Linked DNA regions of Oryctolagus cuniculus. The protein of the gene in region 2 purifies or fractionates together with the protein of the main gene of each other region. This does not show direct contact. Links are inferred from orthologs where the notes say so. Each region holds a gene or a part of one and is shown on either strand. Other genes may lie near its edges.

Region 1 (5,856 bases), on a different chromosome or scaffold from region 2:
TTGTCTCTCTCCTGCTTTATAGTCCTCTTCCACCAATCCCAACTCTGCTACCCACACGCCGAGTACGCTGCTCTCCTCCAATCAGGAGCAGGATCAGCTCCTGCAGGTTACTGGTCAAACTGGAGGCAGCTGTGTAGAAGCTGTTTACTCCTCTCCCAGCGCCATATTGTGTGAGAGCAGATGCATAGAATAAGTCTTAATTCCAGTAACTTAGTCTAGTCCAAGTTGCTCCCCACACAACTGGGACTAGAACCTGGGGTGCCGGCGCCGCAGGCGGAAGATTAGCCTAGTGAGCCGCGGTGCTGGCTGAAAGATGGCTTTTTTTTTTTTTTTTTTTTTTTTTTTTGACAGGCAGAGTAGACAGTGAGAGAGAGAGACAGAGAGAGAAAGGTCTTCCTTTTTGCTGTTGGTTCACCCTCCATGGCCGCCGCTGCAGCCGGCGCACCGCGCTGATCCTGGCAGGAGCCAGGAGCCAGGTGCTTTTCCTGGTCTCCCATGGGGTGCAGGGCCCAAGCACCTGGGCCATCCTCCACTGCACTCCCTGGCCATAGCAGAGAGCTGGCCTGGAAGAGGGGCAACCGGGACAGAATCCGGCGCCCCAACCGGGACTAGAACCCGGTGTGCCGGCGCCGCAAGGTGGAGGATTAGCCTATTGAGCCATGGCGCCGGCCTGAAAGATGGCTTTTAAAAATCTGATCCGGGCTGCTGTTGTGGCGTAGCAGCTAGAGCTGCTGCATGTAGTCAGTATCCTTTATGGGCACTGGTGTCCCAGCTGCTCTACTTTTGATTTGGCTCCCTGCTAACAGCCAGGGAAAAGCAGCAGAAAATGACCCAAGTGTTTAGGATCCTGCAACCCACTGGGAGACCCAGTTGAGGCTCCTGATTTCAGCCTGGCCTGTGTGGCCATCTGGGGAGTGAAACAACAGATGCAAGATCTTTTTCTTTGTAACTCTGGCTTTCAAATAAACACATAATTAAAAAAAAATCTTATTCAGCATCTACATCTTTACCTTAGAGTTGTGCACGTACATATTATTTTGTTTCTAGGGTCCCAAGGACATTCCAGGATGCCAAGTTAAGATCTCCTAGGATAATCTTTCCCCATAAGGGGTAAAATGGTGAATTTGACTTAGAGCCTTCTAAGCCAGGCAGTGTAGACTACTCATAGTGGTTTCTAGATTCAGATTACCTGAACCTAGAAATCCTTTTAAATCCTGGCTCTTCTAGCTATGTGACATGAAGCATCATCCCTGTTCTTGGTTTTTCTCAATTGTAAAATAAGGATAATGCCTACTTGGTTAGGTTGATTTGGTTGTAAATAACATGGTGCATGTAAAGTCTTTTGTTTGGCACGAGTTGGTGCTGCTGAGTAATTGTAATTCTGTAAGAGAGATGGACCCAAAGCTGAAATTACACTTCTCAGTCCATTGGAAAATGCGTATGTGGAATCCCTCGTCCAGCTCTTTCCAGGAGATCCTCTTGAGAACCTGATATTGGAAATCAGTACGTCTGGGATACAGCCAAAGCATTTATGTATTTTTTAAAATTACATAGGTGATTCTCGAGTGCAACTGAGATTGAAAACTGCTGATCCAAAGCTGTTCTTACAAGCAAGTTAGTGTATGCCTAGAATAATAGTGTTAGTGGTCACACCTAATTCTGCTAAGATCATTTCTCCAAGACCAACTTTAAAGATAAAAAGAATTATTCTGTAAGGTGACTATTTGTAGATCATATCAACCTGGATAAACTGAAGACAATGTTTTCAGACAACCTGAAGGTTGTATGTGTGACCAGCTACATTTCCTAAAGGAAGGAAAAGGCGGTCTCATCACGCTGTGTACCTGTCTGAATGGTTATATTCTTATTTTCTGACAGCCTATTACTAGCTCCCCACCCAAATGGATGGCTGAAATAGAACGTGATGATATTGACATGTTGAAAGGTAAGCAACACCATTTATGTTCCTCTACAAATCACCTTTGCTATTGTTTTTTCACTATTTCCTTACAAGTATGAAGATACTTCAAAAAATTCATGGAAAAATGGAATTAAAAATGAGTGTATTTTAGTGCAAAAAATATTGAAATCCAAGATTTGTTACAATTGAAATTAAGTTCATTTTTTATTTTATAAAATCTAAGATTTGTTAGAAAGAATTAAAATTTTAAAGTTCATCTTTTATTTTAAGTCTAGTCTCTTTCCACTATAACACAAGTCCCTTATTTAGGATTGACCGTCATGTGCTGTTGTCAGTTCCTTACCTTAGTGAGTTAAAACCTACCTTTATTTCTTTCTGGCCCATCAATTTCTTCCATACAGAATACCATAAGTAGTGAATGCTGTTGTTTGATAAATGATTTGGAACTTATTCACAAAGTAGAAGTTTAAATTAAAAAACATTAATTTTCCTTGATTTTCCTGTACTTTATTTATTTTTCATCATCCTTCTGGTGATAAGATTCATGATGGTTGTGAAATAATAGACTGAAATTAAAGTGAGAACCCAGGATTCTTGAACTATTTAAGCAGCTGAACAGATCAGGAAGGCTTGCTTATGCCAGATATAGATAATGACTGCAGCATGATAAATGGGAGAAAAAAACCTTTATTTGATTTCAGAAGTAATTCATTGTTCTGTGTGAAATGCTGAAACGTAGATCCCTTCCTCTACCCATGGAAAAATTAAGTTTCAAGGACATCTAAAAGGTTCATTGTTCTAATGTGTGAAATAGTATTTATATAACACCCTATCAGTGTGTATTTCCTAGAGAAACTTTAAATTTTTCGTTAAGGGTAATACCAGTATGTTTCATTTAAATTGACTTGTGTCTTAAACTTAAAAAGAATTAAGTGTTATTTAAATGAAAATCTGGGGAGGTAAGTTGTTATTTTAGGTATACTCTCTGAAGGGAAAATATGTATTTATATTTAGGCTTTGTTTTCTAAACTCATGGAAATGGGGAATAGTAAGCATATTGTTGCTGTTTTATTGTTATTGAAATAATTGTGACTTATAAATGACAAAGGATATAGTGTATATTGACAGGATAATATATAATGACAAGATATAATTTTGCAAGATAGAGATCTGTCAGCAAGGCTTTCTCAATGCTATGTCAAGTCATACAAAGTTTTATATTTTAATGATACACTCATTTTGTGTAATAGACTAAATGAATGGAATAAAAGGCTCTTTAGGGTAAAACACTTCATTTATTATTGTACTTGTGCTTTCCTTATTAAGTGGGTAAGCTCATCTGAGACACTCTGCAATAGTGTAAAAATTCACTGATTTTGTGTGTATGTATGTGCGTATAAGATTGGAGAAAGTGTAAGAACCCATTTTCTACTTATTCAATAGAAATTAAGCTTGAAGGCAGACATTTATGTAGTAGTTAACATGCTGCTTGGCATATCCACATTCTGTATTAGAGTCCAAGGTTCAAATTCTGGCTCCAGCTTCTTGCCAGGATGCACACTGTGGGGACAGTGTGTGGTATCTCAAGTATGTGAGCCCCTGCTACCCATGTGGGAAGTACAGATTGAGTTCTCAGTCCCCAGCTTAGGCCTGACCCAACCACAGCCGTTGCAGGTGTTTGGGGAATGAACTAGCAAATGGGAGATTTCTCTCTCTCTCCCTTTCTGCCTCAAATAAATAAATAAGTAAATCAGTAAATAAATATTTAAGGAACCCATTTTTAAAAAGTAAAAAAAAAATTAAGCTTGAAAAATATTCCCAACCCAAATGAAATATTACTAGAAGATAGTAGGAAGAAATAGTATTGAAATAAATGATTCTGTTTCAGAACTGGGAAGCCTCACCACGGCTAATTTGATGGAGAAGGTACGAGGCCTACAGAACCTGGCCTATCAGCTGGGACTGGATGAGTGTGAGTACCCAGATCCCATTTATTCAGGGCTATATGTTGCACATTCCAGGATGAGTTCTAGTTATAATTCAGAAAATGTCTTTATTAAATAAAGGAAAGTGTTCTGAAGGTAAGAAGTCAATGTAATTTAAAGTCTATCTTTTATGATAAGTATGCTGGAATAATAACTGGACTTACTAGACACTATGTCTCACTGCAGTACGTTTTAAGCAATAGAATGTTGACACAGATGAGCTCAAACAGAAGAGAGACTTTATTATTTCTTAGTTTGCATAGTTTTAAAGTCCAGGGACAGAAATAGGCCTGAGGCTGTAGATCCATGACTTACTGATACGAGTGGGTGTGCTTTTGTTCGTCTTAAAGCTTTGCCTCACTTGTGCGTGAGTCACATTCTTTGCTGCTGCAGGTAGCTTTTTCCTGGCACTGAGGAAAGAACTGCAGTTTATGTGTCTTTAAATATAATGATTCCAAAGGAAACAAAGAATGTCTTTTTCTGAGTATTCCCTCCCCACCCCAAAAAAACAGTTCCCGGGGAAGACTCAACTGTGTTCTGTCTTGGCTCACAAATGCACCCTTGGACCAGTTGCTTGGCCTGGTGGCCTGGAGCACTTGGCTGGACCATCCTGGGTCCTGGATGCAGCTGTAGACTAGAAGGGCTAGTCTGACCCAAATGACAAAGGAAGGGCTATACAACAGACTAAAACATACCTGCTGCTATGAGTAATGCTTTTTTTAAGAATTATTATTATTTTTTTTTATTTATTTGACAGAGTTATAGAGAGACAGAGAAAAAGGTCTTCCTTCTGTTGGTTCACCCCCCAAATGGCCGCTATGGCCGGAGCTACACCAATCCGAAGCCAAGAGCCAGGTACTTCTTCCTGGTCTCCCATGCGGTGCAGGGCCCAAGCACTTGGGCCATCCTCCACTGCCCTCCCGGGCCACAGCAGAGAGCTGGACTGGAAGAGGAGCAACCGGGACTAGAACCTGGTGTCCATATGGGATGCTGGCGCCACAGGTGGAAGATTAACCAAGTGAGCCACGGCGCCGGCCCCATGAGTAATGCTTTAACATTTTCCATTTATATCTTTCTGTTCTCCATTATTTTAGTTTAAAGTCATTCCCTTATAAATTGTATACTTTCTTATAGTATGTTCATTATAAAATTGGAGAAAATTTATAGAAAATTCTCACTTTGTAATTGAAAAACAAAATACTAAATGTAAATATAGTGATTATAGCCTATTCTCAAAGGGTATCTTCTGAGACCTTCATAAATCAACATTTTGAGAGTGCTACTATAGTTTGTAGTGTTCATGAAAAATTTAGGTTTGTAGCAATCCCACATAGTTTGATAAGTTGGTTTTTTCTTGTTTATTTACATTTAGTATATTTGTTTACATCACTGATAAAATTTACAGGCAAATTCAAATTTTCATTTTAAAATTTAAAATGCCTAGGTTTTCACTAATAAATCATCACTTCTTTAGCCCTCTGTATCTTTTCTTTATTTCCATTACTTCTATCAACAGCAATTGGCTTTCTTTTACCAAGAAACAGTTTTTAATAATTTCTTGAATCAAGACATAGAAAACAATAAACTTCTTTGATATAAGGTTGTTAGGTTGTCTGCTGGGTTCCCTAACTCTCTTCTGAATACTGGTGATTTTATTTCTTGTGATTAAAGTTTATATCTTGGCAAAATGACTAATAACCATGTATGTCATGGACCTTTAGGGTATAATAAAGAGGCAAATATTTGACTATTAAATTCATGAATGCAAAGTCTGTATAGTTTAAAATTCCTTGATTTTGCTTCTAACTTTGGATAATAAATGCTGTAATAATCATAATGACCAATCTTTTATCTGTGTCAATTTTTAATGAGATAAATGTTTTGCTTATTATAGCAAAAAGAGTCTACCATAGCAAATGTATTTGCCAGGTGTATTATTTCTTTTTTTTT
Region 2 (6,316 bases):
GGGCGGGGGCGGGGCCGGGACCTGTGCGCTCCCTCGCTCCGCAGGCCGGCGCCGCTCACGCCTGCGTGCCTTCTAGGACGAGCATGGATTCATCGCGCGCGAGTTCCACCGCCGCTACCGATTGCCATCTGGCGTGGACCCTGCCGCCGTGACGTCGGCGCTGTCTCCCGAGGGCGTCCTGTCCATCCAGGCCGCTCCAGCACCAGCGCAGGCTCCACTGCCGTCCGCAGCTGCCGCCAAGTAGGGGTCTCAGGCATGCCTGAGCCCCGGGAGCTGCCTGGAGCTCCCTCTTTTAAAGCCGATCTGACTCCGCCCAGCCAGAAGTCGTGAGCTTGCCAAGACCATCCCCACCCAATCTGAGATCCTGCCTTGACCCCTCCGCCCAGATGCTTCCCCTGCCACCCACACTCACCGTCCACCCCTCCACCTCCAGGTGTCAGACCCTCACCCTCCAGTCTCCTGTGCACCCACCCCACTTTCTTGGCCCATCGCCCCCTCGAGACTCTGCTCCGTCTGACTGCTCTGTGAGGACATCCCCACACCCCACTCCATCCCTGCCGGCCCCTAGGCCAGTGGGGCGGGCGTAATCCCCCACAGGTAAGCAGCCCCCACCGCACAGGCCCAACAGCCTCGTCCCAGGCCTCTGCAACCCTCCCCTGCAACCAGCCACCCCACCCTCCTGCGGCCCCCTTTCTGACTTGAAACCCCCAGACTCCAAGTCCCCTGACTGCCCACCTCTGGACGCCTACCCTAGGCCAACCAGCACCCCAACCAGACGGCCTCTGCACAGCTGTTCCCGGGCCCCTCCCCACCTCCCACCAGTCTGTCTTGACCCCAGGTCTCCGACCAGACACCCTAGGCAGCCCGCCTTCCACACTCCTCTCCTCCTCCAGGACCCAACCCACCAGCCACTCTGATTTCCCGCGACCTTTTGCCCCTTTGAGTCACTCACCAGCCACCCTGTTCCCCCTCCCTTCTAGACCCCCCCCTCCCCTAATAAATGTGCTAGAGCTGTGCCAGCCGCCTTGTGTCTGGGCTGGAAAGGACGGGCAGGACGATGGTCAGTGTGGAACTGAGGGTGTTTATTGGGGCAGGAACGCTACTGTCGCTCGTACATCTCCCGAAGGATCTTCATGCTTTCCGAGTAGCGGAGCTGGTTCCGATGAGACGCCTCCTTCCACCTGGGGAGTTGGGGCGGGGCGGGGAGGACTTAGCAAGTCCATCAGACGCCGGTGGAGGGGGCAGGTTGGGGGCCGCTCACCTCTGGCGGATGCGTTTCCAGCGCTGCATGTTGCGATAGATGAGCGTGGAGGGCGAAGGCTCGGGCTCGGAAGGCTGTGTGCACAGACAGAGCCAGGCTGGGTGGCCAAGCCCCCCAGCACAGCCCCCTGAGCCCCAGGCCAGCCTTCTATACCCACCTCATCGTCGGCGGTGCCCTGGGTCTCCGGCTGCAGCGGGGATGGGATGCGGGTTCTGCAGGCGTCTCCGGGTGGCCCAGGGGCCATGGGTGGAGGCAGCTTGTACACGTCACGACTCTTGCTATTGGTGACCTCTGAACCCTGGGATACAAGGGCCCCAAGCCAGGCCCGAGGAAGTCAGATAAGAGGGCAAGGAGTATCCACTTCATCCTCCTGCTTTTCCCAGTGACAAAGGACCTGAAGGGCAGACACCTTGCCCAGCCCAGAGCTCAGGTGTGTTTACCCTGGGCGATCCGTTTTTTCTCCTCTCTAGCCAGGAAGCCCTGTCCACCCTCACCCAGGGATGCCCATCTACACCTGTCAGCTTCAGGGATTCCTAAGGGGCCCCCTATGTGTCACCAAGGGACCCCTTCGCGTCACTCCCCAGGCCAGGTGTCCCTGTCTGCTCTGGGGATTCCTACCCCACCTTGAGAGTTCAGAGAGTCATCTCCGTACATCCTGGGGACCCCTGGCTGCCATCTCTAGCCAGATACCAGAACCTCATCTACCCTGCTCCCCCAGGCCACTAACAACCCATCCAGCCTCTCAGCTCTTGGGGACCCTTTACCTTGGGGGTCACATTTATCTGTTGCTTTCCCCTCAGGCCAGGGTTCTGCCTGCCCAGCCTACAAGAGCCCATCTGTGTGCCGCACTTGGCCCTGCGTTCATTTGTGGGACACAGGGACCTGTGCCAGTCCCCCCCAGGAGCTAGGGGGAGGGAGCCCGTCTACCCACTGCTTTCCTGGCAGCTGCACTAGGGCCCACTGTCCATCCCACCTCCTCGTCCTCAGGCAGGGGGGGCAGTGGGGAGCCGGGCGAGCGTTCACGCTCGCGCACTGAGGGGCTGTTGCGCATCCAGGCACGGCAGATCGGGTACAGCGGTGTGTTCTCGCTGAACTGGGCCAAGTCCACGCTCCGGTCGAACAGCTTGATCACGTACGTGTCTGGGGTAGAGCGTGGCGGGAGGTACCTGAGCATCCTCGTGGCACCCCCTGGCTCTCTGCCCACCCTCCAGGGCCACTGCCTACTCACTGGACCGCTGTGGCCCTCCCTCAGCCAGCCCGTCATCCATCTCCCTCCTCTTCTTCCTCCGCTGGTGAGGGAAGCGCGCAGACGGCCTGTGTGGGGAGGGCAGGTGTGTCAGGGCCTGGGTGGGGGCTGGGAGCCTCTCCCGAGCTGGCTGGGGTCCCTGCTGCCTTACCTTTTGCCAGTGGCCGCAATGGAGCAATCCCTGTGGGGAGAAGGGGTTTCAGTAGGCCGACCCCTAAACACACACTGCTCAGCCCACTGCCCCGCCTTGCCCTGGGCACCTGTGGACGCTGGGATTAAGCCTGAGATGGCCATCTGACCCCACCGAGACCTGGGCCTCGTGTCCCACCCCACGCTCTGCCACCAAGCATCTCTGTACGTGGGGGTGCTACGTCACGACTCAGGAAGCCCAGGGCACGCGGTCAGGGCTTGGATGAGGCAATATCAGATTCCACCAAACAAAACACAACGTACTTAGCGTGGGGGTCCGAGGGCGTCTTCCCGGCTTCCTCATCCAGCCGCTCTCTGGCAACAGAAGAGAGCTGTTGGCTCGGGGCTCCAAAGGCCCGGCGTGGGAAGGCAGCAGGTGGCCTGTCCACTAGCTCCCTTCCCCTGGGACCTGCCGGGCAGGAGAGGGTTCAGGCAGCCAGAGCTCCCCCTGCCCCCCACGCAGGACCAAGTCCCGACCTGTCCATGTGACTCTTCTCCAGGAGACACTGTAAGACGGCGTCCAGCTGGTTCCGGGCTTTGGCCATCTCCAGCTCTGCGGAGAGAGGGTACCAAGCAGGCGTCAGCTCGCAGCCTCGGGACTGGACCAGGGAATGTGTCTCCTCTGCGCAGGCCAGCTGTGGGCGGGCCCAAACCAGGGGCAGAGGCCCCTGAGGCAATGAGTAGGGCCCTGAGCTCCAGGGCTGTCGCACGTGCCCACTGTGTGAGAGGAGGCAAGGCCCACCCCCTTCCTGGGCTGTCCCCGAATGACATATAGCCACACAATGGCTGCAAGGCTTCATGAAGCTTCAGACACTTCCCCATCTACCAGGACAGGAAAATGAGAAGTTAACCTATTCAGAGTGCTCCCCGTGTGCCAGGACTGTTGGGAGCACACCACCTGTCTCACCCCACTGAATTCTCACAATTCTCCAACAGGTGCCATTGGTAACCCACCTTACAGATGAGGAGACTGAGGTGCCGAGACACCCAAAGTCGCACTGAGAGGGATCTGCTCCCAGCCCATCTGCTTCCAAAGCTAAGTTATACGGCAGAGGCTCATACGGCCTCGTCAGGGCCCCAGACCCTCTGTGTGGCTGAAGGAGCTGACAACACTTAAAGACGGGGAAATGTCATCTAAAATAGCCTTCTTTTTCTGACCCCTCTCCCCCCCCCCCAACTCCATGGCTTGTCCACTTGGCCTCCTGAGTGTCTCTCCATACTCTGCCACCTGGGTCCAGCCCAACCCCCTCACCCCCAACCCCCGGGGACTCCTAGCCTCAGTCTCCCCTCCGCTAGGAGAAAGAATCTTCCAAGGCTGACCCTGCTCCTGGCTTAGAGCCCTCCACCCCTGCACAGCGCCCCTCCGCCAGGTGTCCACGCCCTCTCCCCTCTCTGCAGTCAGCCCCTCACCACTTGGCCACTGTTCTTCGGGGGGGGGGGCACTGCGGGAGAGGTACTTTGATTAACTCGGCTCTCAGTTCAAACCCGCCCTAGCCTCCTCATTCCGCTCAGAGCCAAATCCAAAGTGCTCAGGCGGGCCCACAGTTCTCGCCGCCGTCCCCTCGCACCCTGCGCATCCGGCCACCTAGGCCCCTGACCTGCCCTAAGTCCCCACTTCCTCCCACTGTTATTTCTTGTTTGGCCTCCTGTGCCTCTCCCACTGCCCCCATCAGCCTGCCCCGCCCCGAATAACTTTCTCTTTCCGAGCCTCAGTTTCCCCACCTTCCTACGACGGCCGGAAGACGGCGATTATGGGTTCGGGACACAAGGGCTGACCCACGCCCGCTGCTGGAAATGGGGAAACTGAGGCGGAGCCGAGAATAGGAGCCTGCACAGAACTAGGAGTGGCTTGGGATGCTCTCCCCGCGCCACACTGCCCGGCCACTACCAGAGTGCTGGCAGCAACGATCGATGCTCGACACGACGACAGCCTGATGGGAGGAGCCGCGCAGTCCACCTTTTCGCGATCATCCCCCTATCCGGACCCCTGGACCCAGATCAGCCCGGTGTTCCCGACAGGCCCCCGACTCCGCGTCCTCACCTGATTTCTCCACTTTCACCTTCACTGGGAACATGGTTTGGGTCCGAGATCTGGCTAGGTGGGTCAGAGAAAGCTCAAAAGAACATACGGCGCCGAATCAAAGCTGGAGGCGGGCGCGGAGATTGCAAAGAGCAAGCTCCCGGGGCGACCGCGGGCCCGTCCCCAGCAGTGTCCAACCGCCACTGCCGCCGCCGCCGCGGCCACCTCTTCTTCCCCTTCTGTGGGAGGACCCTTTGGGCAGTCGCTCTTTCTCATTAGTCAATTTAACTGCCAATCTAGTACCCCGACTTACAGACAGCTGCCGCTGTCGACTCCCAGCCTTAAGCTCCACCTTCCTAGAGGGTCTTATTTCCGGAAACAAACCGACGACAAACCAGGGAATCCTGGGAGTTGTAGTTCCAGCTCCCGAGACTCGGCCGTAGTAACTTAGCTTGAGCCGCGCGGGGCACTATGGGAGACAAAGGATCGGGCATCGCGAAGCTTCCCGGGACTTGTAGTGCCAGGTTTTAGTAACACGCATTTAGCTGTTTGCAGGGAATCAAGCCGGTTTCCTAGTTTCTGAGCACTCACTAAGAGCCAACTGCCTACTGGGTGATCTTTTATTAGGCACAACGTCATTCATTTAGCGAATCTTTATTAGGCTGTTACGTATTCATCTAGGTACTGGGGCAACGCAGTGAACAGATGAAAATCCTTGCCCTAATGAACTTATCTTGTAGAGGATGGAAGACGGAGGATAAGTAAAGCACTTCGGGGTGCATCCTGGGAGGCGGCAGGCAGATCTCTGCCAGCCACTTGGGAGACTTAAGGTTGAGTCCCTGGTTCCTGGCTTCCACTGGGACGGACCCTGGCTGTTGATGGGATCTGTGGATGGAAACTCTGTGTTCCCGTCTTTCTTTCAAGTAAAAATAAGTGAAAGTTTAAAAATATAAACAAGTAGGGGACAGTGATGTGGCGGCACCAGCATCCCAAATGGGTGCCGGTTCGAGTTCTGGCTGCTCCTCTTCCGATCCAGCTCTCTGCTATGGCCTGGGAAAGCAGTAGAAGATGGCCCAAGACCTTGGGCCCCTGCACCCCTGTGGGAGACTGGGAAGGAGCTCCTGGCTCCTGATCCACTCAGCTCCAACCACTGCAGCCATTTGGGGAGTGACCCAGTGGGTGGAAGACCTTTCTGTCTCTCCCAGTCACTGTCTGTTAACTCTCTCAAATACATAAACAAACAAACAAACAAACACTTAAAAAAAACCCATATAAACAAGTCAAACATGCTAAGTGAAATGTGACAGGACAGAGAGTGCGGGCTGAGGGTAGGTGTTCCACCTGGTGGTCAAGAAGCCTCATCTCACACCCCACACTGGAGTGCCTGGGCTCCATCCACGGCTCCCGATTCCAGCTTCCTGCTGATGCAAACCCTGCAGAGGCAGCAGCCGGGGCTTAACTTGCTGGGCTCCCGCCACCGCAGGGGAGAACTGGATTGCATTTCCAGCTCCCTGTTTTGGCTTGGGGCAGTCCAGGTGGTTGCAGGCATGTGGAGAACCAACAGCCGATGGGCACTCCATCTCTTTCTCAAAATATATAA
Region 3 (5,856 bases), on a different chromosome or scaffold from region 2:
ACTGTGCTAGGCTTGGTTGGCCAACCTGGGCCGACTGTCACGTTGCTCAAAACACAAACCACAACGTTCGCAGCTTCCCGGCCAACCAGGCCCCTCCTGAATTCTCGACACGCTTTCCCGTACACACAGGAAGAGTGGGCACTTCACGGCAAAACGATTTCGATGGGGAAATACCCTATTTCACTTCTGTATGGTCTTAGTTTTCATAGCAAGCACGTATCACTTTGATTTTTTTACTATTTATTTTCATGTACTTGAAAGAGTGAGAGGGACAGAGAGAGATACAGAACTTCCACCTGCTGACTCACTCCCCACATGCCTGCAACAGTCAGGGTTGGGCTGGGCCAAAGCCAGGAGCCTAGAACTCCATCTGGGTCTCCTACAGGGGTGGCAGGGACCCCAGCACCATGGGCCATCATCCAGTGACTCTCAGGACACATTAGGAGACAGCTGAATGGGAAATGAAGCAGCCAGGACTGGAACCAGCACTCCAATAAAGGATGCAGGTGCTCCAAGCAGAGATTTGGCCCACCGCACCACAAAGCCCCCGCCTAAAATTAAGACTTAAAATCCCTAAAAACAAACCTGGGGTGGATGTCACAGTGCAGCAGGTTAAGCCACTGCTTGTGATGCCCACATCCGGTGTCTAAGGGCCTGGTCTGAGTCCCGGCTGCTGTCCTTCTGATTCAGCTACTGCTAATGCGCACCCGGGGAGGCAGCAGACGGTTCAAGTACTTGTGTTCCTGCCACCCACAGTGGAGGCCCAGATGAAGTTCCTGTCTCCTGGCTTTGGCCTGGCAATTGTAGGCATTTGGGGAATGAACCAGAGGATGAAATATCTCTTTGCCTTTCAAATAAAATGAAAATAGCTAAATTTAAAATAATAATAAAACATCTAGTCCTCTCACCTCCCTCTTCTCCCTGGGCTGCGCCTGCCAGTGCAGTGGCATTCTCTGGGCTGGTTTCAGGAAGAACCAGAGAGAAGACTCCTGAGAAATAGCCCGGGGGTCCTGGTGCTGCCTCTTCCTAGCTTGGGGGCACCCTACTCTGAGCCTTGATGTCCCCTTGTACCCATTCACACGACTGTGATCAAAAGGACACAGCAGGGCCGGCGCCGCGGCTCACTAGGCTAATCCTCCGCCTAGCGGCGCCGGCACACCGGGTTCTAGTCCCGGTCGGGGCACCGGATTCTGTCCCGGTTGCCCCTCTTCCAGGCCAGCCCTCTGCTGTGGCCAGGGAGTGCAGTGGAGGATGGCCCAGGTGCTTGGGCCCTGCACCCCATGGGAGACCAGGAAAAGCACCTGGCTCCTGGCTCCTGCCATCGGATCAGCGCGGTGCGCCGGCCGCAGCGCGCAGGCCGCGGCGGCCATTGGAGGGTGAACCAACGGCAAAGGAAGACCTTTCTCTCTGTCTCTCTCTCTCACTGTCCACTCTGCCTGTCAAAAAAAAATAAATTAAAAAAAAAAAAAAAAAAAAAAAAAAAAAAAAAAAAGGACACAGCATTTACAAGGCTCAGTGCCCAGGAAAACGGTTCACCAGGCACAGTCACCGTTATAACAAGAAAATAGCACCTGCCACCCTCTGTAAGCTCAGCTGGTGCAGGGACCACACAAACCCCTCCCGTGCATCACCTGTCCAACCTTCACAAAAACCCTACTGCAGGGACCAAGAAGCTGAGTGTTCTGCCCAACAGCCCCAGCTCCTGATTGCAGACCCTCTGGATCAGGACCTGGGGCCTCGAACTGGACACCTGGGGACACCCGGGCTGATCGCAGGCTGGCTCACTCCCAGGTTCATGTGCATGGACATGCCCACAACGGTGCCTGCTGCCCTGCAGGTGGGTGAAGGCCCACTGAATACAGGTGGCTGAGTTACCTTCTGGTCCTCCTCTTTGGTCCAGGGCCCCTTGACAAGATCTGGATTCAAAACTCTCAGCCACCGGTACTGGCATTGCTGGTCAGTGCGGTTCTGGGAAGTGAACAGGAAGAACATTCAGGAATCTGTGAGAACTCCTGATCCATGGGCTGGGACCCTTTGGAGCACTGGGCTCAGGGGTTCAGGGCCCAGTGTATGCCACCACCACCACCCCCACCACACACTGCAGGCCCACACACGAGGACACGCGTGGCTTCCCTTTGCTGCAGACGGGGACAGGTTCGGGCCCCTGTAGAAGATCACCTCCCACTACCCACACAGGCAGCCACCCCTGCCAAGCCTGTAACAGACTCATGAGGTTCCAGATCCCTGCTTTCTTTTGGGAGAGTGTTTCTATTTCTGAAGCACCACACGGATGAAAAGCAGATGAACAAAGTGGACAAAAGGGCTCTGGTGGCTCCGACCTCTAGTGGCCCTGGGGACCCAGGCAGTAAGCCAGAGAGCAGACACCTGCAGCCTGGGGGTGGGGTGGCTGCAGGGCCTTACTGTGCAGCCGCAGCCGGCGGAAGCACCACCTGCCCCCAGCTGCAGCCTCACTGTTGAGGAACCCAGCACCCATCCGCTCCAGCAGTGCACGAAGCAATGCAAATAAGCATGTCACTGGCCACAGCTACAAACCCCGCAAAGCCCCGGACACACGAGGCAGCTGTGGGCAGAGGCTTCGCCTCTGGGAAGCAAGGTCCCATGAACACAGTCGTCTTTTACGTGGTTCTCCTTCGGAGGGAACTGGTAAGAACTCCCTCGCCTTCTCCCTGGCAGGAAGCTTGTCCCCGGCACAGTGGTAGGTCGGCGAGAACCCCTGCCATACTCACAGGAAAGTGGCTGGCCAGGAACTTCCAATCCTGCTGTCCGAACTGCCTCACCAGGGCCCTCAGCTGCTCATCCTGCCAACACGAGGAAGACAGAGCTCAGCGCACACTGTGCAGGAGGCCGCCTCCCAGGCGCCCCCAACAGTAGCCCCTCCAAGAACAGCTCCGTCCTTCCATCCCGGCTTAAAATGACCACCTACTGCGCGCCAGGAATGGCAGTCACAGCGGCAGGCAGCAACCCTGAGGGGCTTATGGTCTAGGGAGAGCTCATCGAAAGCTCAGAGACACAAAGAGATGCACAGTAATGGGAACGCAAAGCTGGAACACTGGACTCAAGTGAACAAGGGACGCGAGATGGTTCTGGAGGGACGGCAGGGACCAGGCCTCATGCAAAACTGACGCCTCTGCAGCAGGCTAAGCCACCGCGGCATCTGAGCAGTGAGCATTTACGGTCCAATGGCTTGTGACAAGGGCTCCAACGTGCTTGCTGCAAGGCAGGAAAGGGGATGGAAGGAGGCAGAGTGGACATGCGAGGCCAATACTGCACCCAGGCCCGGGGTGACAGGACTCGGCTCTGGAGGTGGGGTAGCCATGGGCAGAACTGAGAGCAGGCAGAAGACACGTTCTCCTGAAGAGGAGCTACTGTCACACAACGTGCATCTCGGGATCCTGATAGGTCAGACATAAACGGGGACATACCGGATCATTCCACGCACACGGAATCTAGAAGATGTGAACTAAGATACAGGAACAAAAAGGAAGCCAGTGGTCGGACAAAAGAGACAGCAAGGAGAGCGAGGACTGTGTTGGGGGTAGTGGAATGTTCTGGAACGTGACTGCTGCTATTCGTGGCTGTAAACAAGCACCTGTGAAATTCACTGAGCTGTACGTCGAACGGCAGTTGATTGTATATAAAGTATTTCTCAATTTTATAGAAATAAAATATATAGGAGTATTTGGAATAGCAGTTAAGATGGCACTTGGGGGGCCTGGCGCTGTGGTGTAGCAGGTAAAGCTACTGCCAGCAGTGCCAGCATCCCATATGGGCACCGGTTCAAGTCCCAGCTGCTCCATTTCCAACGATGCTCCCTGCTAATGTGCCTGGGAAAACAGTGGAGGATGGCCCAAGTCCTTGGGCCCCCGCACCCGCATGCGAATCCTGGAAGAAGCTCCAGGCTCCTGGCTTCAGACCAGCCCAGCTCCAACTGTAGTGGGCATTTGGAGAGTAAACCAGCAGATAGAAGATTTCTCTGTCTCTCTGCCTCTCTGTAACTCTGCCTTTCAAATAAATAAATAAATAAATCTTAAAAAAAAAAAAATATGTCACTTGGGACACACTTTCTCATATCAGAGTGCCTGAGTTCAAATCCCAGCTCTGCTCCTATTCCAGCTTCCTGCTAACAATGTGTACTCTGGCTCAAGTACTTGAGTCCCTGACACCCATGCAGGAGACTTGAATGAAATTCCTGGCTCCTGGTTTTGGTCTGGCCCAGCCCCAGCTGTTAGAGGCATTGAGAGTAAATCAGCATATGGAAGATTTCTGTCTAATAAGTAAAATTTTTAAAAAATATGATATACACAAAGAAAACATGGTAAAGACATCAATGAAATATGACCCAGTCTTAAAAAAAAAATGAAGAAAAACAGAGGCTAATGTGGCACAACGGATTAAACCACCACTTGCCACACCAGCATCTCATATCAAAGTGTGGGTTCGAGTCCCGGGCTATTCGGCCCCGACGCAGCTTCCTGCTAATGTGACTAGCAGAGCAGGAGACGGCTCAGGCCCCTGCACCCACGTGCAAGACCTGGATGGAGCTCTGAGCTCCTGGCTTCTGCCTGGTCCAGCCCCAGCTGTCAACAGCAATTCGGGGAATGAGCCAGTGGATGGAAGCTCTGTCTCTCTTGCTCTGTCACTCTGCCATTTGAATAAGTAAATAAACAAATCTCTAATTAAAAAGAAGGCAAACTAAAAAAAAAAAAAAAAAAAAAAAAAAAAGGAAATTCTGAAACATACTAGATGGAACAGGGACAACCCTTGAGGACATTTTGTTCCATGAAATAAGCCAGTCACAAAAGGACAAGTACTGTGTGCTTCCAGTCACGAGGTACCGAGAGCAGTCAAAGCCACAGAAACAGAAAGCAGGCACCTAGCAGCCAAGGGCTGGGGAGAGAATTAGTGCCCAAAAGGTAAGAGTTCCATTTCTCAGAAAACAGAAAGCTTCCTAAGATCTGCTGCCCCGTAGACCATGGGGAATACTTAACACTGCCATACTGTGCCCTGAGAAAGGGTTAAGGCCAGGGCTGGGCCAGGCTGAAGCCAGGACTAGAACTCCATCCAGGTCTCCCAGATGGGCACAGGGGCCCAAGCACCTGTGCCATTTCCCACACTGCTTTCCCAGGTGTGTTAACAGGGAGCTGGATCGGAAGTAGACTTGAACCACCAGCACGGCAGGTTGTGGCTGAACCTGCTAAGCCACAACACAGGCCCCCACACCAATCTCTTAGCCCAATGCCGCCCCAATGTCTACTCCTAGCTACCTACACAGATTAGTGCATATAAAACAGAAGGAAAGCTTCCCTTAGCCAGGGGACGTAGAGAGGGACAGGGTAGCTGTCCAAACCAGGAGGCAGGGCTCCCCTGCTTTAAAACCTCACTTCCTGGGGCCGGAGCTGTGGCGTAGTGGGCTAAGCCTCCACCTACAGTGCCGGAATTCCATATGGGCACTGGTTCTAGTCCCGGATGCTCCACTTCCAATCCAGCCCTCTGCTATGGCATCAGAAAGCAGAAGATGGCCCATGTGCTTGGGCCCCTGCACCCATGCGGGAAAATCAGAAGAAGCTCCAGGCTCCTGGCTTCAGATCAGCTCAGCTCTGACCACTGTGGCCATTCAGGGAGTGAATCAGCAGATGGAAGACAGCTCTCTCTCTCTGCCTCTCAAATAAATAAATCTTTAAGAAGGGGGAAAAAAAACTCACAGTGCCAGTGGAACAAGCCCAACACTTCACAGCAGAACCTCAGGGCCTTCCAGGGGTTGGTCCTATTCTATCTTTTCATCGGCATCAACCATTCTGCCCCTTCAAGGACCCTCCCCTCCAAGACTCTGGGCGC

The links. Proteins that work in one complex are often made in the same cells at the same time.
Region 1: the proteins of LIN37 (region 2) and LIN52 purify together in Homo sapiens (affinity purification with mass spectrometry; 6 studies listed by BioGRID and IntAct, counting the BioPlex papers as one, with this or other methods). This does not show direct contact. The link is inferred for Oryctolagus cuniculus from reciprocal best matches to the Homo sapiens genes LIN37 and LIN52.
Region 3: the proteins of LIN37 (region 2) and MYBL2 purify together in Homo sapiens (affinity purification with mass spectrometry; 6 studies listed by BioGRID and IntAct, counting the BioPlex papers as one, with this or other methods). This does not show direct contact. The link is inferred for Oryctolagus cuniculus from reciprocal best matches to the Homo sapiens genes LIN37 and MYBL2.

Annotation. Positions count from the first base shown.
Region 1 is NC_091451.1:20,267,241-20,273,096, forward strand, and holds part of LIN52 (protein lin-52 homolog), read left to right. Parts: intron 1-1,878; coding exon 1,879-1,945; intron 1,946-3,809; coding exon 3,810-3,893; intron 3,894-4,663; coding exon of another isoform or gene 4,664-4,665; exon of another isoform or gene 4,666-5,760; intron 5,761-5,856.
Region 2 is NC_091449.1:19,406,986-19,413,301, reverse strand, and holds LIN37 (protein lin-37 homolog), read right to left. Parts: upstream 5,145-6,316; 5' UTR 4,772-5,144; coding exon 4,738-4,771; intron 3,250-4,737; coding exon 3,174-3,249; intron 3,012-3,173; coding exon 2,961-3,011; intron 2,689-2,960; coding exon 2,659-2,688; intron 2,576-2,658; coding exon 2,490-2,575; intron 2,402-2,489; coding exon 2,235-2,401; intron 1,560-2,234; coding exon 1,419-1,559; intron 1,336-1,418; coding exon 1,262-1,335; intron 1,182-1,261; coding exon 1,100-1,181; 3' UTR 574-1,099; downstream 1-573. Other genes in the region: HSPB6 (heat shock protein beta-6), read left to right, coding at 77-244.
Region 3 is NC_091442.1:15,286,981-15,292,836, forward strand, and holds part of MYBL2 (myb-related protein B), read right to left. Parts: intron 2,820-5,856; coding exon 2,748-2,819; intron 1,969-2,747; coding exon 1,876-1,968; intron 1-1,875. UniProt on the Homo sapiens protein: Transcription factor involved in the regulation of cell survival, proliferation, and differentiation. Transactivates the expression of the CLU gene.